Linked DNA regions of Tribolium castaneum. The protein of the gene in region 1 interacts with the protein of each later gene in a biochemical or structural test. Links are inferred from orthologs where the notes say so. Each region holds a gene or a part of one and is shown in the gene's direction. Other genes may lie near its edges. The genes, in order: ubiquitin-conjugating enzyme E2 S, Uba1, mr and Roc2.

Evidence for each region.
Region 2: of the proteins of ubiquitin-conjugating enzyme E2 S (region 1) and Uba1, one has a biochemical effect on the other in vitro, tested with the Homo sapiens proteins (8 studies listed by BioGRID, with this or other methods). The link is inferred for Tribolium castaneum from reciprocal best matches to the Homo sapiens genes UBE2S and UBA1.
Region 3: the proteins of ubiquitin-conjugating enzyme E2 S (region 1) and mr form a complex in vitro, tested with the Homo sapiens proteins (3 studies listed by BioGRID and IntAct). The link is inferred for Tribolium castaneum from reciprocal best matches to the Homo sapiens genes UBE2S and ANAPC2.
Region 4: the proteins of ubiquitin-conjugating enzyme E2 S (region 1) and Roc2 form a complex in vitro, tested with the Homo sapiens proteins (3 studies listed by BioGRID). The link is inferred for Tribolium castaneum from reciprocal best matches to the Homo sapiens genes UBE2S and RNF7.

What each region holds. Positions count from the first base shown.
Region 1 is NC_087395.1:19,971,889-19,977,325, reverse strand, and holds ubiquitin-conjugating enzyme E2 S, read left to right. Parts: upstream 1-2,626; 5' UTR 2,627-2,920; intron 2,921-2,979; coding exon 2,980-3,133; intron 3,134-3,182; coding exon 3,183-3,370; intron 3,371-3,418; coding exon 3,419-3,547; intron 3,548-3,596; coding exon 3,597-3,728; 3' UTR 3,729-4,094; downstream 4,095-5,437. UniProt on the Homo sapiens protein: Accepts ubiquitin from the E1 complex and catalyzes its covalent attachment to other proteins. Catalyzes 'Lys-11'-linked polyubiquitination.
Region 2 is NC_087394.1:32,759,051-32,765,628, forward strand, and holds the end of Uba1 (ubiquitin-like modifier-activating enzyme 1), read left to right. Parts: coding exon 1-483; intron 484-2,908; coding exon 2,909-3,610; intron 3,611-3,660; coding exon 3,661-3,860; intron 3,861-4,224; coding exon 4,225-5,007; intron 5,008-5,109; coding exon 5,110-5,886; 3' UTR 5,887-6,226; downstream 6,227-6,578. UniProt on the Homo sapiens protein: Catalyzes the first step in ubiquitin conjugation to mark cellular proteins for degradation through the ubiquitin-proteasome system.
Region 3 is NC_087394.1:29,187,765-29,194,176, forward strand, and holds mr (anaphase-promoting complex subunit 2), read left to right. Parts: upstream 1-2,798; 5' UTR 2,799-2,893; coding exon 2,894-3,486; intron 3,487-3,533; coding exon 3,534-3,672; intron 3,673-3,718; coding exon 3,719-3,872; intron 3,873-3,918; coding exon 3,919-4,177; intron 4,178-4,371; coding exon 4,372-4,526; intron 4,527-5,039; coding exon 5,040-5,579; intron 5,580-5,628; coding exon 5,629-5,867; intron 5,868-6,008; coding exon 6,009-6,209; 3' UTR 6,210-6,228; downstream 6,229-6,412. UniProt on the Homo sapiens protein: Together with the RING-H2 protein ANAPC11, constitutes the catalytic component of the anaphase promoting complex/cyclosome (APC/C), a cell cycle-regulated E3 ubiquitin ligase that controls progression through mitosis and the G1 phase of the cell cycle.
Region 4 is NC_087397.1:2,862,589-2,867,394, forward strand, and holds Roc2 (RING-box protein 2), read left to right. Parts: upstream 1-2,541; 5' UTR 2,542-2,653; coding exon 2,654-2,998; 3' UTR 2,999-3,245; downstream 3,246-4,806. Other genes in the region: Slik (STE20-like serine/threonine-protein kinase), read left to right, coding at 406-573; dual specificity mitogen-activated protein kinase kinase 7, read left to right, coding at 3,472-3,535, 3,591-3,829, 3,885-4,112, 4,162-4,341, 4,389-4,603. UniProt on the Homo sapiens protein: Catalytic component of multiple cullin-5-RING E3 ubiquitin-protein ligase complexes (ECS complexes), which mediate the ubiquitination and subsequent proteasomal degradation of target proteins.

The sequences.
Region 1 (5,437 bases):
GTCCCTCTATGTCTTAATCTTTTATGTTGTTTTACACAATGTTATAACGCCTATGCCTGTTAAAAAAACAAGGTTTGTCCTTTTTGTGATTGCCTAATTTAGAAACTAAGCGAAAAAACGTATTCTACAAGTATCATACAAGTTAATCAATATTAAAGCCTACTATTATTATAAATTTAAATGATTACATGGTAGTTTTAATCAGTTAACTTCCAGTTATAGTTATGTATATCAGATATGTGGCTTTTTATTTAAAATAATTTTAGCACACTTGTAATTCTCTTGTGTTTGAGTAATTTACTAATAACTATGATGCAATCGAGATTACTTTTAAAAAATTTCAAAACTTATCAAGAACTTTGACATCAAACTGTTAAAGTACGTGTTAGGGCCGCTTTTACAAACGTCCGTAAACCACGAATAAATTTCGAAAAATAGTTGTTTAAATTTAGCCTTAAGGGACTTAAAAATTGGACTATTGTCAAAGGTTACAAGCAAAATTTTGATATTTTTTTGCTTTTCTGAACAGTCTGTAGACAAGTAATCAAACCAACAAAACTGATGTATTTATACAGACTGATCCCGAAATACTGTGTCTGTTAGCAATCTGAATTTAAATTTTAAAGGATACCAATAGTGTACACTTTCAGGTAGCAATTCAATAATTTAATCTGATGCCAACATACTCAGTTTCTCTGGATCATTGTGTATATTTAGACAATGTATTTACACATATTATTACATCTGAGTATGTTTATGAAGAACAATTCGAGTTAAATTAATTTTGCCTATACATTCCAGCACGTTATTATTTTTTCAATAAATTTTTATTGGAAAGACTTTGTTTCATTTTATTAAGGGATGTTAAATGTTTTTGTGCTATTGCAACTGTTACAGATGCTTTTTTATTAAAATGTTTCGTAACAGTGCATGAGTACAGAAACATTTAACATTTATAATTCTTTAAATTTGGAAAATAAATAAAATGTCCTGTTTGAATTTCCCGCTATTATCGAATTAGTTCGTTCTCCCCGGGTTAGGTGGCGCTTTCGCGAAAAAACGAGGGGTAGACAGAGAGATTCGCTTCTTCCTCTCTCTTATTCTATGGTTTTTTATTGTTCTGACGCGATCACTGGATCACACAGCCACATTTGGGACCAAAATAAACCTCTGATTGGTGCGTCGGTCATGACGTCACATCATGGCCGAAATTTGTTTTGATTTTCAAAAATTTTACGAATTTAATCCACCGAAGCGAAAGCGAGGGAGTAATTAAAAAACTTTGCATTTGACGAATTAAGCAAATTGTTAAACATGACGGTGCCAAGAAATCGAAATTAATTTGGTAAATTGTACCCTCTCTCTCTTATTCTATGATTGTACCGAAAAAAGTGCGAAAACCAAGGTTAGTATAGACATGGTTGCGTTGTGACTCTGTGAGGAGTGGGAGAACCGCCATATTGCTTCGTCAGCCAGATGGCTAACGTATTATTGCATTGTTTACATGCGATTTATATCGTGTTTTGGGAAAATTTACATTGTAAAACAATGTTGGTGACTTTTATGAAGATTTCAGTTGTAAAACCATTTAAAAACATGAGCGACAAAAAAGAAAGGTGATAGGGATTCTAAAAATAATTGAAAAGTGGCCAAAAAATCGGAAAACTGCATGATAGTTTACAGTAACGAATTGTTTTTTAAAAATATTATTTTTTATTTAAACACTCACCTCCATTATATGACACCTATGGTATGTAAACTAGAAATCCGGCTGTGTGCTTTTTGAGTTTTCATATTTTTTTAAGGTTAAATGTTGTTTATTTACTTGATAATATAGACTGTAAATCTGGTTGCCCATCAGTCATCCATAAAAATCGACAATGTTATTTAGGTTACAATAAATTCATCGCTTCGTTCAAATGTTAAAAATGTTTCTGTATACTTATTCTTATCTCTCTCAGATCTTTTGATAACAGCAGTTTCATTTTCTTTGCATCCACTTCCTATAGTGTAATTCACTAGTGTAAATTGTTCTTTGAACAATTGTGCTATTTTAAACAGCGACCTAAAGTCCCTTTGAATTTGGATCAAACTGACTTCAAGGAAGAAACGGATTACTTTTGATTAGAGGTTGAGAGGCAAATAGTTTTTACCGCAATAAAAGTGTGGCCACATATCTTTGGAATGGCGTATATTAAAATTTTCATTGTCCTGCAATTATAATTTTCTCCAAGTCACACAAAGTAGCAAAAAATTACGTATGAAATTCAAAAGTGCCATCTCAGTGACGTTTTCGCGCGCCGTCTATTGATTAGTTTTAGGAGTTACGGCACAACTATGTCTTTAAACCATTGGCGAGAACCGATTTTTTAACCGTCTAGTCCGTTTGTTAACTCGCCAGAGGGCGCTTTTGAAACAAAATATGTTCTTTAAGTGCAATCTTACCTTTTGTTGGGCGTTTTTTTCACTTTTTTTACCCCCTGTAGAATGTGGTTAATGCAAAGTTTTAATTTTTTCCTAAGATTAGGCGGTTTAGTGGCTAAAATCAACTTTTAAATGTTCTAACTAAACTGTCGCCAGGTGTCGCTTCAAAAAATTTCTAACCGCTTTTTGCGCTAATTTTAACGATTTTTTGGTTCATCCGTCGCTTTTTTCGTCGCTGAATGTGTGTATGCGTGGTGCAGGGCGAAAGAAATTTTTTTTTGAGTTTCATTTGGCGTTTTTTCGGTGTGCCGTCCCCGGGTCCGAGATTAAACGCATGTGATTGGTGGCAAAATTCAAATTTCGTTGTTCATCTGTTTTCTCTAGAACGCCAAGTTTGATGTTTGTTATCACGATTGTCAGGTTGTTTTAGCGTCGTGAAATCGCCAATTTAGTCGATTTCTTGTGATATTTTTAATTAAGGGCAAGTGCCGGAGCAGTGAGTCGTCGTATTTCGTCTCGTGGAGTCGTTTTTGGTACGTTTTTTTCCGTTTTCAGATGTCAAACAATGTGGAGAATCTTTCGCCCCAGATCATCCGTCGAGTGGTCAAAGAAATGGAAGATCTAGTCTCAAATCCTCCCGAAGGGATCAAAGTTCAAATAAACGACGAAGATGTGACCGATATTCAGGCGTACATTGACGGTCCTGCAGGTTAGTGGCCCCTCTGTCCTGGAAACGTTGTGCAAGCTTCCTGTTGCAGGGACGCCGTATATGGGGGGCGTTTTCAAGGTGAAGCTCACTCTGGGCAAGGGGTTCCCTCAGGAGCCGCCCAAGGCCTTCTTTCTGACGAAGATTTTCCACCCAAATGTGGCCGCCAATGGCGAGATTTGCGTCAACACGTTAAAAAAGGATTGGAAGTCAGATCTCGGAATTAAACACATATTACTGGTAGGTGTTCCGGTTTTGAGTGTTTTTGAGGTTATTGCGCTTTTTCAGACCATTAAATGCCTCCTCATTGTGCCCAACGCCGAATCAGCCCTCAATGAAGAAGCCGGGAAACTGCTCCTCGAACAGTACGAAGACTACTCACAGCGGGCCAAAATGATGACGGAAATTCACGCTCAGGTGAATTTTAGCCAAAATCAGTGAATAGATCTATAATTTGGTTTTTTAGCCCCAAAAAATTTCAAAAGGTTGCAGCGGGGAGGGCCCTCTGGCTAAGAAGCACGCCAGTGATAAGAGTAAACTAACAGCGGAGAAAAAGAAGATACTTAAAGACAAGAAACGGACGTTGAAGCGTTTATGAAAACCGTTACTGCCATTCTTGTTTATTTCTTTGTTTTAACTATTTTTTTTTAATTATTAAATTATATTTTTTGAGTATGCAAGAATGATTTATTAATTTATATGTGTGCTACAGTTTGGTTGAGACCTTTTCATTTCGTGTTATTTTGAATGTAGTGCATGCACAAAGTGCAATTTATTCATGGTTCCAATCAAAAAATAAATGTTAGGCTCAGTTGGTTTTCCACCAGTCAATTACAAAGTGTCTGCAACAAATATTGAAACAAACCGGAACATTGTTGGCCTCAACATCAAACATAGCTGAGCCTTAGGATGTATTTGTGGTAGAGAATTGTGAATTATTTATTAATAAAAACTGAAAATCAAATTATTGTTTTAGTGAGAGACCAAATCCATTTGAAAAATAATTTTATAGACCATAATACTACATATTTGTTTACACATTTATGACTGAATGTTTAGTTACATCATATAGCATGAATGACAAAGAGAAGTAGTTTATCCTCAGACGCCAACCGTACCCACAATTATGTACATATCTTTTTTATAACAAAATAGATTAATACTTTATTTCCTGTATCTCTTTCAAACTTTAGAACTCATTTAACTTGAAAATTACTCCATAAGAACGATGTTCGATTAGAACCAACGATCGGTTATAACTGTTATAAGTTACAACAAATAAATTCTCTAGTCCCTTGGGTGCTCGTAATAACCGAGTTCCACTGTATTCCGATGATGGATATAGGCGATGTAGTATAAAAAGGAATTAATTTCGTTTCTTTCATTGTATTGGCCCCGAAATGAACGAACACTTGTGAATGCCACCAAATTATAAGTGTAAGAAAAGTTAACATACTTAACTTAAGTCAATCTTGGTTTTGCTATTTGTGTGGCAAAGCTGTCTCGAAATCCGTTTGTAGCTAAATAAAATTTGTCCATTTCCTTGGGTAAAATATCGAGATGTGGCTCGAGTGGTACTAAAACTTGTTCATTTTTAATTTTGAGAAGACAAATGTTTGATCCATCTTTGGCCATGTATCCTTTCGAAACTGTTCTTCTGGAAAATCAAATATGTAATAAATAGGTAACATTTAAATTGTTTAAAAAATTCGCAAGTGATAAAATAAGGTAGCTCTGAGGACCAAATCGAAGAAAAAAAATTCATCATCGATGTCTTCCTTTACTAAATCCAGTGCAGGACTTTTAAATAAATTATCCAAACAGGTGGAAAAATAAAATTTAAGTCCAAAATCGGAGTGAATGACTACCATCTCAATTTTTGGTTTATCCAAATAAAATTTTATTGTGTTTGATTGATATAATGTTTGCGGTGAGATTGTCCCATGGAGAAGTCCACAAAAATTAATTTTGAAGGTGAGATATTATTTGTAAGGATACTACCTGGGAAGGGTTGGTGCTTAGAAAAAGTATAGAAAGTATTAGTTTTATTTTTGTTAGAATTATCTGCGAAAAACAGTATTGAAGAAGAAATTACCTACACATTTTTCTAAAATATATTTTTTATAATGGAAGTGTTTCTGGAAGATTTCTTACATGAACACGACAAGAAATATGAAATTAAAAAAGTTTCATTCGATCTCAAAAAACGCTAACTCTTTGGTCGCCGTAAGTTTTTTTGTATTCTTTCGTCTTGTGCAGATGTAAATAGAAATAAAGAAAGTTTTCAGCTTGTTTAACGGTCCCATA
Region 2 (6,578 bases), on another chromosome or scaffold:
GCATGGCCTCCAGCGACGTGCTGGTCTCAGGCCTGGGCGGGCTCGGCGTCGAGGTGGCCAAGAACGTCATCCTCGGCGGGGTCAAGTCCGTCACGTTGCATGACGAAGCCGTTTGCAGCGTCGCCGACCTCTCGTCGCAGTTCTACTTCACCGAAGCCGACGTGGGCAAGAACAGGGCCGAGGTCTGCTGCAAGCAGCTGGCGGAGCTCAACACCTACGTCCCCACGAAGGCCTACACGGGCCCCCTGACGCCGGACTTCATCCGCAAGTTCCGAGTCGTTGTCCTGACCAATAGTTGTCTCGCTGAGCAGATGCAAATCAGCGAAATCACACATGCCAGTAACATTGCGCTCATTGTGGCCGATACGAGGGGGCTCTTTGCCCAAGTGTTCTGTGATTTCGGGGATGCTTTCACGGTCGTTGACACCAACGGGGAGTCGCCGGTCTCGGCGATGATCGCTGATATTTCCACCGATAAAGAAGGTGGGTACAAAGAACCTAATGGAAGGCATTGTTACACAATGACTAATCTTGACGTTGTACGTCGGGTTATATTGGCAATTATTGTGCAATCAACCTGATCATGTGGCTAAAATTAATCCGATGTTAGAAGTTTGCCTTTGTTTTCCTTGCGATGTGCGAAGGTATGGAGTGAAAATCCCCAAAGGGCACTATATCAGTACTCAAATACCGTATGGTCAAATAAATCTGTCATCCTAATAAATTAAACATAATTCGAGACTATTCATAAAACCTAAAGCCATTTATTGGCTTACCAAAGTAGCAGTCGAATGGCATTAAACTTTGTGTAAATGTTGAGAAAATGTTGTAAAAAACATGTGATTTTATTAAAAATAGATGCTGTACTATCCCTTTTTTCCTCCTGTAAACTACCACTTGTGTGGAGGGTAGGAGGTTGATATTTTGAAGGTGAGCTGTATATTTATTAAAAAAATCTTTAGGTTTGTTAGTTAAATACCGGGTCAAGAAATAACCCACTATTGACTCACCCTGTACTTCAAACAATATCTTACCTAATAGAACAACTTGGTAAGATCAGCTAAAGAAGCACTGCAATCACAAAACTTCTATAATTTTATCTTGATGCAACTTAAATGATCTCCAAGCATTCAGTATTCAACTATTTTATTAAATAAAATAGCTTAAAATAGAGATTTTTTATTTTATTTTTAAACGAAACTTTTTTAAATTCATATTCGATACAGTTCTGAGTAATAATGACACCATTTCATACTAAGATTTATTTAAATGTAAGTCGTCTGAAAACTAGATCAAATATTTTTGATTGCAACTAAGAAAATTTCAGAAATTGATATTGTTGTTAAAGCATAAATTACATTATTGAAGCCACATTTTTTATGGAAACCAAAAGAAAACTCTGTATTTTTTTATTCGAAAATTGGTTTAAACACTTTTCCTTTTCCCATTCTCAGTACAGTAAAGCTTTGTCAAATTTTAGTATCGTAATCTAAAAAGTCTTATTTTGTCAATTTTTTTATGCTGTTGAAAAATTATTATGTCTGTTTTTAATGACCCAAATGTATCAGGACAAATCCAATTTAAATGTTCAATCTTATTTTTATCGATAAAGTGGGTAACACAATGTTAACATGAAAAAAATTAAAAATCTGGGTCTGGGTTAACTGAATTACACATGACACTCGATTTTTTTTTGTAAAATTTGCCTTTTGAGTCAATTGACAGGCAATTACAGGGTAATTCCATTTTTTACGAGATATAGCTCTCCAAATGTTAGATTTTTCGATTAAGTTTTTGGCAGATCATTTTTTCTTGAATTTAGTTAGCAGGAATGACACTAATTGATGATTTACGTTCAAAACAATTAATCAAAGTAGCAAATTTGACAATAAATTCGCCAATATTGGGAACAGAGGCGCAACATTTAAAAGAGTGTCTCAGGAAAAATATTAAAAATTAAAAGTTAAATTATCAGAAAAAAAATCTAAATTAATTTTTAATGTTAGCGGAACGTCTTTGTGGGCTTTTATCATCAAAAATCAACTATTTGGCTATTATTAATTATTATTATCTATTAGGTATAATTTCTTTTCTCTCGATATGTGATATGTTATTCACATTTGGATTATTAATGATCAAGAAAATTAATAGAGTAGTGAAGCAGCTTACTCGTAATACAGTTTTTATTTGATTATATTGGTTTCTGTTTTATTTCATTGCAAAAGCAGCTATTTAATGATCATTGTTGTAACGTCTATAAACAATGGGTTAATGAATTCGTACTATTTTTAGCTTTTCTACAATTGAAAAAAGATGAAATTTGCTCAAAGACCTCTAAAATTAAATTCTTTCAAATCACTAATTTTCTGTTTTTATTACATGTCATCAAAATACGTATAACAAAAAATGCAAATCAATGTTTTGTATAAAGAGTAGGTATTTGTCTACGCAATTCAAAATAACCATAATTGTGTAAATAAAGTGGTCTGCGTTATAAACATTTATTTTCGTCCTAAGCTAAAAACAAATCGGACATTGAGACAGATACCTTAAAAAAATAAAAGATTAGAAAAATGTTGCATCATTTTTTTAGCGCAATTCTGTCGTGAATCTCACTATCGAGAATTTCAATTGATTTTAGATACGTGTAAGGTAAAGGTCATGCGAAACAACGATGCCGTGTAACAAAACTTCTGTCCTTAATAAACATCGATTTAATGTAATGGATATTGTGGTTATAATTTCAATGCCTAAGTCAATACCACATCACATAAGTTTATTGTCGCCAAGTTGAAGATGTAAAATAAATTTAGTTTCCACTGCCATTAAATGTCATACTTTTATAATTTAATGGTCGAAATATGTTTGAAAATGGTGTTTTTTTCAATGATGTTTTTTTTTCTCAAAGGCATTGTGACCTGCATTGACGACACCCGCCATGGCATGGAAGACGGCGACCACGTCACATTTTCCGAAGTCCAAGGAATGACCGAACTGAACAATTGCAAGCCGATTAAAATCAAAGTGTTAGGCCCTTACACGTTCAGCATCGGCGATACGACCAACTTTTCGAAATACGAGCGTGGCGGTATTGCCACTCAAGTGAAAATGCCCAAAACCTTGTCGTTTAAATCACTCAAAGACTCGCTAAAATCGCCCGAATTTTTGATGACCGATTTCGCGAAATTCGATCATCCACAGCAGCTCCACGTGGCTTTTCAAGCGTTGCACAAATACGTCGAAAAGCACGGCCGTGTACCAAAACCGTGGAACAACGAAGACGCATCCGAATTTCTGTCCATTGCTAAATCTTTGGCCGTGGACGGCGGAAACGATACCGAAGTGAACACTAACTTGTTAGAAACGTTTGCGAAAGTGTGCGCGGGTGATTTGAATCCGATTAATGCGACTATCGGTGGTATCGTGGCGCAGGAAGTTATGAAAGCTTGTTCGGGGAAATTTCACCCGATTTATCAGTGGTTGTATTTCGATGCGATTGAATGTTTGCCCACGGAAGCTGGGGAAATTACCGAAGAGTCGGCGGCACCGAAAGGCACACGCTATGATGGACAAATTGCGGTCTTCGGAAGCGAATTCCAGAAGAAATTAGGTGCGTTTTTGTAATTTCTTGGCGAAAAGTTGCTAATTTATTTTTTGCAGGCGGTTTGAAATATTTCGTAGTAGGTGCTGGAGCGATCGGTTGCGAATTACTTAAAAATTTCGCTATGATGGGAATTGGTGGTGAAGGTGGACAAATCACCGTCACTGATATGGATCTTATTGAAAAATCTAATCTCAATCGACAGTTTTTGTTCAGACCACATGATGTTCAGCGTCCCAAATCTGGAACGGCAGCAAAGGTAAAATCATCTTATTGAAACAATTCCGAATTTAATGGTAAAAAACGATAAAAATGGACCGCACAGATGCGTAAACATTCAATTTCAAAGATTTTAAATAACGCGGTCAATTATCTTCGCTAGAGGTTTGTACTAGGTGAGACCATAACAGGCCAACTAAAATTCTCGGCAGTTTTAAATACTGTGATAAGCTGGTTTAATACGTAAAATTATCCGCAGAATTCACTGGAACAAACTGTTTGTCTCTACCACTTTTAGTTTTTAAGTTATTAAATTTTTAATGAGTAACCCGGCGCATCCACCATTTTTGAAGATGAAATTTAAAAATGTCTTTAAATAAAAAAAATCTTTATTTTTGCTACAGGTGATCAAGAAAATGAACCCGAGCATAAACATAGTCGCCCATGAAAATCGCGTGGGCCCCGAGTCTGAAAACATGTACGATGACACTTTCTTCGAGTCGTTAGACGGCGTAGCTAACGCTTTAGATAACGTTGACGCTCGTATCTACATGGACCGTCGATGTGTCTATTACCGAAAACCTCTACTAGAATCCGGAACCTTGGGTACAAAAGGCAACACCCAGGTCGTAGTGCCTTTCCTCACCGAATCCTACAGTTCGTCACAGGACCCTCCCGAGAAGAGCATCCCGATTTGTACCCTTAAAAATTTCCCCAACGCCATCGAACACACTCTCCAATGGGCTCGTGATAATTTCGAAGGCCTTTTCAGACAGAGTGCTGAAAACGCATCGCAATATCTCACCGATCCTGAATTTTTGGAACGTACTATTAAATTACCAGGAGTTCAACCGATTGAAGTGCTGGAATCGGTCAAGGCAGCTTTAGTTGATGATAGGCCAAAGAGTTTTGAAGACTGTGTAGTGTGGGCCCGCCATCATTGGGAGGAACAATATTCAAATCAGATCAAACAACTGCTTTTTAATTTCCCGCCGGATCAAAAAACCAGCACTGGACAGTTGTTCTGGTCGGGACCGAAGAGGTGTCCCGAACCACTCACATTCGATGTGAACAATACCTTGCATTTGGATTATGTTTTTGCAGCGGCTAATTTGAAAGCCGAGGTTTATGGAATACCGCAGAATAGGGATCGGGCTTACATCGCCGAAGTGGTGCAAAAAATTCACGTAAGCCAGCCACTTTAAGCTTTAAAGAAATAAATATGATTTTTTTTTATTAATATCCAATTAGACAATGTTTTATAATATTCTTATGATAATTAATTGCAGGTACCAGAGTTCGTCCCGAAATCTGGCGTCAAGATCGCCGTCACCGATTCGCAGATGGCAATGACGAACGGTTCAAGCGTCGACTTGGACCGCGTTGGCCAAATCAGAGAGGAATTACCTTCGGTCGCCGAACTGGGCAATCTTTGCCTCACTCCACTTGATTTCGAAAAGGACGACGACACAAACCTCCACATGGATTTCATAGTAGCGGCTTCGAATCTCCGAGCCGCCAACTACAAAATCCCTCCAGCCGATCGTCACAAATCCAAGCTGATCGCCGGCAAAATCATCCCAGCTATAGCGACAACAACCTCAGTCGTCGCCGGCCTCGTCTGTCTCGAGCTTTACAAATTAACGAGAAGTTTGAAATCGTTGACGCCGTTCAAGAACGGTTTCGTCAACTTGGCTCTGCCGTTCTTCGGGTTTTCGGAGCCCATTGCCGCCCCCAAGAACGAGTATTGCGGGAAGGAGTGGACGTTGTGGGACCGGTTTGAGGTGGATGGGGAGATGACTCTGAGCGAGTTTTTGGAGTACTTTAAAGAGAAGCACGGCTTGGAGATCACGATGTTGTCGCAGGGCGTGTGCATGCTGTACTCGTTCTTTATGGCCAAAGCGAAGGCGCAGGAACGCCTGGGGTTGCCCATGTCCGAGATTGTGAAGCGAGTGTCGAAGAAGAAGCTCGAACCGCACGTCAAGGCGCTAGTGTTTGAACTGTGTTGTAACGACGCTGACGGAAACGATGTCGAAGTTCCGTATGTTAAGTATAATCTACCTTGAATGGTTGCGTGTTGGCTGCATTCGTATTAGGGCATTTAATGACAGTTATTAGGTGTGCACTAAATTGAACTATTCTGGGTATTTGTCAAATTGTGATCTTGTAAATTATTTATATTTTTTGCAAGCATAACTAGAACACGTGTTCGGTAGGAATTTGTTATTACTTGCCCAGTGATTCTCACTTGATTTTCTATTATTTGTGTTATGGCGAGTGAATTCAATGAGCTAATGCAATATAATCGTACGTATGCTGATACTGGATACATTGTAGGTTCAGGATAGTGTTTATTTTCTTAAATATTTTGATGTGTGAAATTTAATAAATATGTTTTGAACATTACGAGCTCTCCTTATTTCTCCTTTTTTGTACAAAATTATAAATTAAAACTTACTGCAACTGCGTTGGAGTTGGTCATCCTGTATTTTAATTAAATTTCCTGCCATATGGCAGAAGGACGCTGCAAAATTGACCACCAGAAAGCGCAAAAGCCTCAACCTTAATCGTATGTGCAAATTATGCCAGGAAATACGAAATAAATCTTAAAAATCAGGATTTTTTAAACGCTCAAGGTCATTAAAGAGGCAGTGCACTCCGCACAGTTGGTATCCCTACACGCACTTGACGAAATGGTGGTGTATTTATTTTTGTTTTGTGAAATTAAACAATATAATATTTCGTGAAATTGAACTCA
Region 3 (6,412 bases), on another chromosome or scaffold:
TCGTGGCAATAAATTATTTGAGTGGTTTATTTTATTTATAGTTACTGTATTTAAAATGTGTCACTCAAAATATCACTTTTCAATACCGCATTTATAGATTTTAATTGCATTTAAGTTTTATGAAATTATTGGTTTGTGAAATAAATAAATACGACACAGCAATAAAATGCACCTACCTTCATATCGCTTCCACGTTGGCTACCGTTTGTAGCATTAAAAAAAATAATAATAAAGATGAAACCAAAAAAAATGTTTATTTGCATTAAATTTTGAGCAAGCCACTTTCATTCATTGAAATTAAAGGCAAAATTTCGTGGCAATAAATTATTTGAGTGGTTTATTTTATTTATAGTTACTGTATTTAAAATGTGTCACTCAAAATATCACTTTTCAATACCGCATTTATAGATTTTAATTGCATTTAAGTTTTATGAAATTATTGGTTTGTGAAATAAATAAATACGACACAGCAATAAAATACACCTACCTTCATATCGCTTCCACGTTGGCTACCGTTTGTAGCATTAAAAAAAATAATAATAATATAAATGAAAAAAAAAAAAAGGTTTATTTGCATTAATTTTGAACAAGCCACTTTCATTCATTGAAATTAAAGGCAAAATTACGTGGCAATAAATTATTTGAGTGTTTTATTTTATTTATAGTTACTGTATTTAAAATGTGTCACTCAAAATATCACTTTTCAATACCGCATTTAAAGATTTTAATTGCAATTAAGTTTTATGAAATTATTGGTTTGTGAAATAAATAAATACGACACAGCAATAAAATACACCTACCTTCATATCGCTTCCACGTTGGCTACCGTTTGTAGCATTAAAAAAAATAATAATAAAAATGAAACCAAAAAAAAATGTTTATTTGCATTAAATTTTGAGCAAGCCACTTTCATTCATTGAAATTAAAGACAAAATTATTACGTGGCAATTAATTATTTGAGTGTTTGATTATAATTTTATTTACTGTATTTAAAATGTGTCACTCAAACGCGATCACTAGTCACCGAATTGAAAATTTAAACCGGAAAATTTAGATTTGTTTGAGCACACGTCCGTTCGCGACAACGGCAAGTAACAAACTGAATAAATTGAAGGAAACCGCACAATACACAATAATTTAAATAAACCGACCCGACTCACCTCGCCTCCTGCTTCCCGCTCACGATCTGACCCGTGCCATTGCTCGCTGTCGACTGAAGCGCTCTCGCCGCCTGCGCCGCACACCTAACCTCGGGACACGTCACGGATGTGACGTCACTTAAGTCTAAAACAAGTCATTACCAGAAATATTCACTGGAAAAATTCGTCAAATTTAGAAACATTCATACACAGAATTATTTAAAATAGAACAGCATTGATCTAAAAAAATTAATTATGACAAATGTATTTGCCTATAAACGTCTAAAATTATAAAAGTTTCGCATGCAGTCAATGGAAAAATAAAAATGCATGTTTTTATTTAAACAGAAACTGGCAATGTGAAATTTTGGTGCGAAAATTAGTGGTATCGCAATGCGTATAGCAACATTGTTTGTTTGTTTCGTTTTGTTGAAAATTCGGTAGGTTTCAAAAGTAGGGTTATGTTGTCACCCGAAAATGACAAAATTTACACTTTTATGAATTTTGTCTCCATCTCTGCCCTTTCAGAGCGTTATGATAGGATATTTAGGGTCGAAATCTCTACCTTTATTATGTGCTATTGCCAGATAAGGACAAAAGTTCAGAAAGTAGGGTTAGGGTGTATTATGCTCTCTTCTGAAGTGTTAAATTTTAACTTTAATGTTTTTTGTGTGCTTTCCTGCTCTTCTAGAGCGCTATTAATTATTATTGAACATGTTTAAGGACAGACAAATCTACCTTGAGTCAACGACATAAATTTCAGTGAGATTTATTGAAAAATGCACTTCTCGTGTCAACCTTTTCATGAAAAAGGGTGTTTAAACGTTTATAAAGGGTATGTTAACGTGTGTTGTTAACTTTACCACGTAATAAAACATAAAGTATAACTTGGTAATTTTTTACTTTAACTACTTCTGGATTTTCAAGCTGAAACTTACACCAAACGATTCCTCTGAGTGCCCTGATGACCGTACACTATGAATTTTCTTGTGCAAATTGAAAATTACATTAGAAAAATAATTTTTATTTTCACTCACTTTTTACTTGAATCGCCATTTTTGTTGATTTTAATTTGAGTTTATTTTTTATAATATCACGTTAATTTTTATTATTATAGTGGATCAAAGTGTCGTCTTTAGGTTAGACTATTGCCTACTATCGGTTAGGAACAACATGATCTCCAAAAATATAACGTAGTAATGAGCTCCAGAAGGTTTACGTAGATAGGTGCGTTTTTCCCAAAAGTGAGTTTTTTGAGATCGAACCGCAAGTGAGTCACACTGCGAGGAGACTCCCATAGACAGAAGTTGCAAACATAAGGTGCCAGACCGGTGCCAGTTTGGCTGATTGCAAGTATGTCTTTATCATCGATTCGGTGACGACTATTAGTTTCGTAAACTTAATGGATTTAATAAATATCTTTAACATTAAATGTGATCGTGTCATGTTGGGTAAAATTCTTCCATCTGTGCTGTCTGTGGATCCACCTTTTCAAATACAATTAAGAAATTTTCATAATAATTGTATTTGATAAGGTATTGGCATCATTTTGACGTGAGCAAAAATTAAAAAAATATAAAGTAATCGGAATTATTTTAAATTTGCGCCATTTTTAGTACGTGATGATGCGGCTAGATGGCTTCAGCTAGGAATTCATTGCCAACCATTATGTTCCGCTTCTATAAAAGTGTTATTCTAGGAACAGAACCTAAAAGTTTGTCAGTTTTTTACGTTCAGCAATTATTATTTTTACAATGAATAATCAAAACCTGGACTTAAAAAGTGCGTGGATTACGATTAAAGAAGCTTTTCCAATCTTAGAAAGTCCTTCAAAGATCCCTGATAATGATTTCGACTCTGCCCCTTTTGAGGCAATCAGCATTATCAAAAGGCTCAATTTAACACAGCAAATTCAGGATTTGGTCATAATTAAAATAGAAGAACGTTTGAGGAAGGAAATAGTCCCAGATTTTTGGTCCCACTTTAAGAAAACCGAGAACGAGGCGGCAGTTTTTCACGAGTTCTACAGTGTGGTTAAATTTTTGTTTCACAATTATGTGCAGCTCGATTTAATTATTAACAAGTTGATACTGTTGAGAGAAGCAAGCAATTTCACTAAACCAGTGTACAATCAAACTTGCCTGCATGAAGCTTTAAAATTAATCGTTAGGGCCGTCTTGTTATCCCAACTCCCCATTGATCATGAATGGATGATAGTAAATTTTTACGAAACGGCGCTTAAAATGCAGGACCCGGAGGAAGAAAATAGCACAAGTGGGGAGTGTGTTGTGTGCATGCAAGAGGAATTTTCCTGTTCTTGTCGTGAAATGTTTGAAGAAACTAATAAGTAAATAGTTTTGTTTTTTATTTTTTTACTCAAATATTTGTGTCTAGGAAATTGGGCAAGATGACTTTATTGGAACCGTTAGTTGGCCAGGCTCTCACTGATTTAATTTATAGTTACATTCAGACACATATCCAGAAAATCTGTAAAGACAATTTTGATAATTCGCACATTGAGAGTCTAGAAAAGGTAGAAATCAGTCGTTTCTTGAATCGATTATACGAATTATTTTCAGTGGCTTCAAACGGTTGTTATTTCATGGTTGAAAAAAATTTACTTTCATAATTCGGCAGTCAAGGCCATGGATGAGTTTGACAAAAAACTAATCAATTATTTATACAACACTTACACCAAAATACGAATAGATCAGTTATTTAACATCATAATTGGTAAAAATTATTGTTTTTGTGGCAGTCTGTCATCAAATATTTTCAGAATATCCTGATTCTCTTCCGGCCCTTGACGACCTTCGACTATGCCTTCCAAAAACCGACCTAAAACCCCACTTAACTCGGTCGTTGCAAAAAGCAATTGAAACAAGATTATTACATCCAGGAGTAAGCACGTTTGACGTTCTGACGGCTTACGTGGCTACAATTCGGTCATTGCGGATTTTGGACCCCTGTGGACTGCTTCTAGAGACAATTACTCAACCGGTTCATCAGTATTTAAGGAGTCGGGAAGACACAATAAGGTTTAATAATTAAAAAAAAATGGTCTAGTTGGCATATTTGACGTTTAAGTGTCAAATTTTCATAGCTAACTGGAATTTCGGAAAGACAATAAATAGTGTAGTTGGCCTTGAATGACATTTAAGTGTCAAATTTCCACAATTAAGGGGCACTTTGTGTACAATAATTCCGAAATAGGGCGAAATTTTTAATACAGGTGTGTGGTGGGTAGTTTGACTGAAGAGGGCCCAAATGATTTAGCTGAAGAGCTGGTCCGGGGCGAAGCCGTGCAAGTGGACGAGAACATTTCGGTCGATGAGGGGGTTGAAGACTGGGAAACGTGGACCCCAGATCCGGTAGATGTCGTCCCCAGTAAGTGTCTTTTTATCGCTTTGAGGGAAATCGACGTTGGCATTTCCATAGTTTTGAAACAGAGAATAGTCACTTTTGACAAATGATTTTTTCTTCTTACGGTGACAGTTTATTTAAATTTAATAATTCTAGTGCTTAGTCACCAACCAGCAAACTAAATTATAAAAAAATATTTATTTTTGAGTTATTTGTTACAAAAAAATTGTACTTATTAACTTGTTTAGGTGCTAATTTCCTATATTTGCAATTCATGTCCTCCCCTCCTCTCCCCTCGGTCGTGCTGTAAACCACCTGCTTATGTGAAAAATTGCTTTTTTAAACGATTTATTAAATAACGACAACTGATTTTTTCCATTTACATTTTACATGATTATTTATTGTCCTCAAGAAGCCCAAAAAGTTGACGAAACGTAAGCAACAATTATAAACCAAATAAGCTTTGTCTGCCTTCCCAATAATAATTAGACTTATCCCACGTATAATATAAATAACTAATTCCCTCGAAAAATTAAGGCAAATCTTCGGGACTTCCCCGCACTTCTGACATCATCTCAATGCTTGTCAACGTCTACGGCAGTAAGGAGCTGTTCGTCAACGAATACCGCACCTTATTAGCCGATCGTCTTTTGTCGCAATACTCCTGCGACACCGAGAAAGAAATTCGTTATCTTGAACTCCTGAAGTTGCGCTTTGGTGACTCCCAACTCCACTTTTGCGAAGTTATGTTGAAAGATATCGCCGATTCGAAGCGAATCAATCAACATATTCAGCAAGACTTGAGTTATTCAGACGATGATATTCCCATGTCTGCCATGATCCTAAGCGCACAGTTTTGGCCAGCGTTCAAGGACGAGAAGCTTGAACTCCACGAAAAATTGGTGAAACAGATGGAGAGTTACACTGGTGCTTTTGAAACTTTAAAAGGTAGCAGAACCCTGTGTTGGAAAAATCATTTAGGAATTGTGGATCTTGAAATTGAATTGGCGGATAGGACTTTGAATTTGTCGGTTTCACCGGTGCATGCGACGATTTTGATGCACTTCCAAGATCAGAGTGAGTCAAAAAGATCAAGATTTTAAGCGACTTATTTTTTCGTTTCAAGATACTTGGTCTTTGGAAGCTTTGAGTAAAGTAATGCACGTTCCGTCGACAATTTTACGGCGCAAACTGAGTTTCTGGCAATCACACGGGATCATAACTGAGCCCGAACCCGACGTTTTTTATCTACAGGAGGAACAGGAAAATAACGAAAATAATATACAGGATGATATTGTTGTTGAAGATTTTGAATCAGAGTCGGCGATGGCCAGCGCTCAAGACCAACGCGAAGAGGAATTACAGGTAAAAAATCTATACAAATTGGCTATAACTTTGAAATTACGTTGGTAATAAAGTCAGTTGTCAATGCTGCCAACCTAATTTCAGTATCATAGGTCAATCTGTACTGAAGTTTATGGGAAAACATGTTATTTTTTTTAACAGACTTTCTGGTCGTACATTTTGGGTATGTTGATGAATTTGGACACTTTACCTTTGGAGAGAATCCACCAAATGTTGAAAATGTTCGCATTCCAAGGACCCACAATTGAGTGCAATTTGCAGGAACTGAAAGTGTTTTTAGATAGGAAAGTTAGAGAGCATCAGTTGATTTATTCAAACGGACTGTATAGATTGCCTAAATAGCTTTATTTTATATTTATAAGTCTTTGCATTTTGCTACCTACGTATTCCTATGATCCTAGTCCATAACTCAATTTAAAATTTTATAATTTTTAGAGGTTTTTGTATTCAACCAACTATACGACGGAAAGCAGTTGGATTGCCTATTTTTATGAAAGTTAGCAAAATTTTGGACAGAAAATGTTTAAGACAATGAGTGTATATCG
Region 4 (4,806 bases), on another chromosome or scaffold:
CTATTGTTTTTTCTTCTGCAAGATTGTCTGCATGCACACTAATACCAATGCACGCTTTATAGAAACTCGAGGAGGAGATGCACACAGAGTTGGTAACGTCGGATTTCGTCAAATACTTACCAAAGTTGCATGTAACCGGACTAAGCACATCGTCATCAACCGATCAGGATATTCAATTCCCACTAACTACACCTAACACTCCCACATTTAGGGACTCGCCACCCACTTGGGGGCGGGTGCGGTCTTGGACCCACGGTGGCGGTAGTAGTAGCAGAGCCAGTGTTTTCCTTCCTTCGAATCCCGATGATGATTCTGCTGTTTAGATTGTGTTTTCGTTTGCTTGCTTGTACTAACTAACACCCGTTGTCTCCTCGTTTTTGTGTCGTAAATTGTGTAATTGTTTAGAAATTGGAAGAGGCGTTTGCCCAGCAGTTGGAAGAACAGGAAAGGGTTTATGGGCCGATCAGTACTCCTCTGGCTTTGCCTCCAGATTTGCCCGATCTGAGCCAGGAGAGTTGCAAGATCGGGATGGGGTCGACTAGGAGCAGTTTATCGTCGGTTTCGGAGGGATAGAACGCTTTAGGAAACAGTATACTCCAAAATGTGCCTCTGCAGATCCAGAGCGAGCATTGATTACCCTAACTCGTGTATATACTTATTACACAGACTGAATAATTAAGAAAATCGTATGAAACATTTTTTTCGTTTTGTTTCTTTTACTAGAGAGATTGAGGTGACCTGATAAGCTACTTAAATTTGGAAATTTCGAAAGGGAGAATTTTTTTCAGGTTGTTTACTGAAAACAAATAAACTATTGTTAGCTTGCTTGCTAAAACTAGACTAGTTTTACGTCGATCCTTTTTATTAAATTAAGATTAGAGGTGATTGAGGATTTAAAATTGTGTGCATTTATTAAAACCAGACTGACAGGTTACACTTGTTATTTTGTGAAATAATTAAGTTAGATTGTACTAATAGTTCAAAAGATTGTTATATCATGTTCGTAAGTAAGTTTTCTTTGTATTGAGGTATTATCTAACAATAAATACTGATTAATTATTATTTAACATAATAGATTGTATTGGGATTGTTTTTTGTTTACGCTTGCACTACTCCAGTCTGATGTATAAATACTATTATAGTCCATGTTATTTAAATACTGAAATTTTTATCAGCTGTATTCTAAGGTGTACATACAAATTCCATCTAACTTAAGTTTATTAGGACAGTGTGATAAGATTTTTATCGTCTTTTAGTTCTTTACTAACGTTTGCCACTATCATGCTGTTCTGTATTATTATGATGTACAGTCAGTGTATTTTATTTTTATGTGCATATTATTTACCAGTAACTATTATATTCAAATAAATAATATAAATAGAATTCGATTTAATCCTTCCACCTCAACTTTTCTGGGACATACTGTATATTAAAAAAAAGTAAGGTTAGGGTACGGTTTACCAACAAAAACGAAAATGGTTTTATTCGAACAAATAAGGCTGAAAAACTGCCGATTGTGTCACACAAAGCCCGGCCAACACGACATAAAAACAGACAAAAAATTAGTAAAAGAAATTTACGAATGCACAAAAGTGAAGGTGAAAAAAACTTGCCCAATTTGTAATTTATTAAAGAACTTTTTTGTAGGTAAATGATAAATCTATGGAGCTTTTGCCGCGTTCTGTGTGTGAGGAGTGCAAAAAAACCATAAAATGTTTTTCGCTTTACAAGCAACACATTCGCAAAGTGGATCAGTGTTTCAGAAGGATTTTAAAAAATTGCGAAGCCAAAAGTAAGGACACTAAAGAAGAAATCTTCAAGTGTGAACAATGTCCAGGGGAGTTCAGTGATCATGATTTATTTAAGAATCATTTAAATTCACACCAGATAAGTGTTAGTCAGGAGGAAATTAAAGCAGAAGTTTCGTGTCCGAAATGTGATAACAAGTTTTGTAACTTGGAGGAGTATGGGTCTCACAACTGTTTCACAGAAGAAGAAAATTCGCAACATGATAGTTTTGAAAATAAAATAGAAACAGAGGATTTGGAGGCGTTTAAAAAAGCCAAATTCGTTTGTAGTTGGAAGAATTGTAAAAAAATCCTCAGTTCCGCCTACACATTAAAAACGCATGAGCTCAAACATCAGGGGAAACGCTCGTTTTTGTGTGTAACTTGTGGTAACAATTATTTCTATTAACGCCCCACAAGTAAAAAATTATTACAGGCAAAGGCTTCATCACAAAAAATTCATTAACCTGCCACGAAAAAATACACCTGGAAGTGAAAGGTTACGTGTGTAAGCTCTGTAATCTTGGGTTTTCTGTGCGAAGTAATCTGAGGGCACATGAAAAAAAGCATCATGAAGGAGTCAGATTTTACTGCTCGCAGTGTTCCAGAGCATTTGCTTCAAAGTGCAGTTTGCAGAGGCACGAAAGAATTCACACAGGAATCAAGGAATTCAAGTGCCAGTCCTGCCCTTCGGCGTTCTATACCAAAAAAGAGCTCCTGAAGCACCAAAGGTACCATCAGGTGGGTATTTTTGTAATTTAGCGTGTTCTTGTTGGTGGCACTGTTACTAACGCGTCAAACGTCATCGCAAATATTGAGGTTACAATTAGGATAATAAATAACGCCCTTGGTTGATAACTGCCACCATGTCGAGTTCTATTGCCGACGAGAACGAGAACACCGAGCGCCTCGACGGCGAGGGAGCCAAGAGCGAGAAAATGTTCACTTTGAAAAAATGGAACGCTGTTGCAATGTGGAGCTGGGACGTGGAATGCGACACTTGTGCGATTTGTCGCGTGCAAGTGATGGACGCGTGTTTGCGGTGCCAAGCTGAGAGCAAAAAAGACTCGTACGGGAAGCAGGATTGCGTGGTGGTGTGGGGGGAGTGCAACCACTCGTTTCACTATTGTTGCATGTCTTTGTGGGTCAAGCAAAATAATCGCTGCCCGTTGTGTCAGCAAGAATGGTCCATCCAGAGGATGGGCAAATAATGATTTCGTGTACTTTTCAGGGTTTGCGCTTACATAAGTGTGACGAATGCTTTAAAACATTTTTCGAACGGCACCACCTGATCATCCATTTGAGGAGCCACACTGGGGAGAGGCCTTATGTATGCCAGTTTCCCAATTGTGGCAAGTCTTTCACGGAAAGTCAAAAACTAAAGAGGCATCATAATGCCAAACATGCCCAAACATAATTAATTGTATTTCCTTTTATTAATAAAATTGTAAAACAGAACTGGTTGTTTTATTTGTGGGAACTTTTGATTTCTGATGAGTTCGGTAGCAACTGTGTCAGGTTGGCCAACCGATGGTGTTTTTCCTTTGGCAGCTAAAAGTTACAGGTTATAGCTGTCATTGGTTTTGACTTTGTAGTAAGTATAATTATGTCTAGTCAAGAACAGAAAATAAATAATTTATTAGATCGATTAAGACAAGGAAACAATCCTCCACGCAATCTGCAAATGTCCGGTCAAAGTATCGCCAGAAATAATGGTGATGTTCCTCACAGTCGCCCGAGTCTCCCATGTAAGTTGTTTAATAAGTTAAGGGGGAAAATAAGAGCGATCTTTGGTTTTCCCAGTGGGCATGGTCCCCAGCCGGCCACGAGATTTATCTTTCACGCCAAGAAGCAGTGAAAATTTAGAGACTGATAGGAAGTTGAAAGAAATCATGAAAATTAGTGGTAACCTAACAATCAACAACAAACTATACGAAACTGATATAAAAGATATGGAAAGACTTGAAGAACTGGGCTTCGGGACCTGCGGTCACGTTATCAAAATGAGACACAAACTAAGTGGCGAAATCATAGCCGTCAAAGTAAACATCAAGGTCCAAAAATTAACACAATTTATTTCACGGGCTTCCATTTCAGCAAATGCGACGTTCGGGCAACAACGACGAAAACAAAAGGATTATTATGGACATTGAAGTGGTCCTAAAGTCACACGACTGTAAATATATAGTTCAATGTTTAGGCTGTTTTATAACCGATTCGGAAGTCTGGATATGCATGGAGCTCATGACTACGTGCTTTGATAAGTTACTAAAACGGTTAGGTAAACCGATACCTGAAGAAATCCTGGGTAAAGTTACAGTTGCTGTAAGTACACGTCTTCCTTTTCAAGCACCACGCTCACTGAACGTTACAGACTGTAGAGGCTTTATCGTATTTAAAAGATAAGCACGGTGTGATACATAGGGATGTAAAACCTTCAAATATTTTGATCGACACTAAAGGCCATATAAAATTGTGTGATTTTGGTATTAGTGGACGTTTGGTGGACTCAATGGCAAAAACTAGGAGCGCTGGGTGTGCTGCATATTTAGCTGTGAGTTTTTCCCCCACATTTATTTTTTTTCTAATTTTTTAATTTAGCCGGAACGCATTGAACCCGACCCTAAAAATCCCGACTATGACATACGTGCCGACGTTTGGTCATTAGGCATAACTCTAGTTGAATTAGCAACGGGGGTTTTCCCATATCCCAACTGTACAACCGATTTTGAAGTCCTAACCAAAGTGCTAGGACAAGATCCGCCAAGCTTACCTGAGACTTTTAGTCCGGAATTTAGGGAATTTGTTAAATTTTGGTAAGTATGGCACTGTGGGAGCCTAAAATAGGAGGCGACACACTGCTTTTATGCAAAGTAAGAATTTACGTAATAATTTACATGATTTGCTGATATTTCACGAAATATTTTTTGTGATTTGACTTCAATGAACGCGTTTTTCGCAAAATGAATCTCTAATAATATTAATAATAATAATCTTCAACACAAGATATACAGAAAAT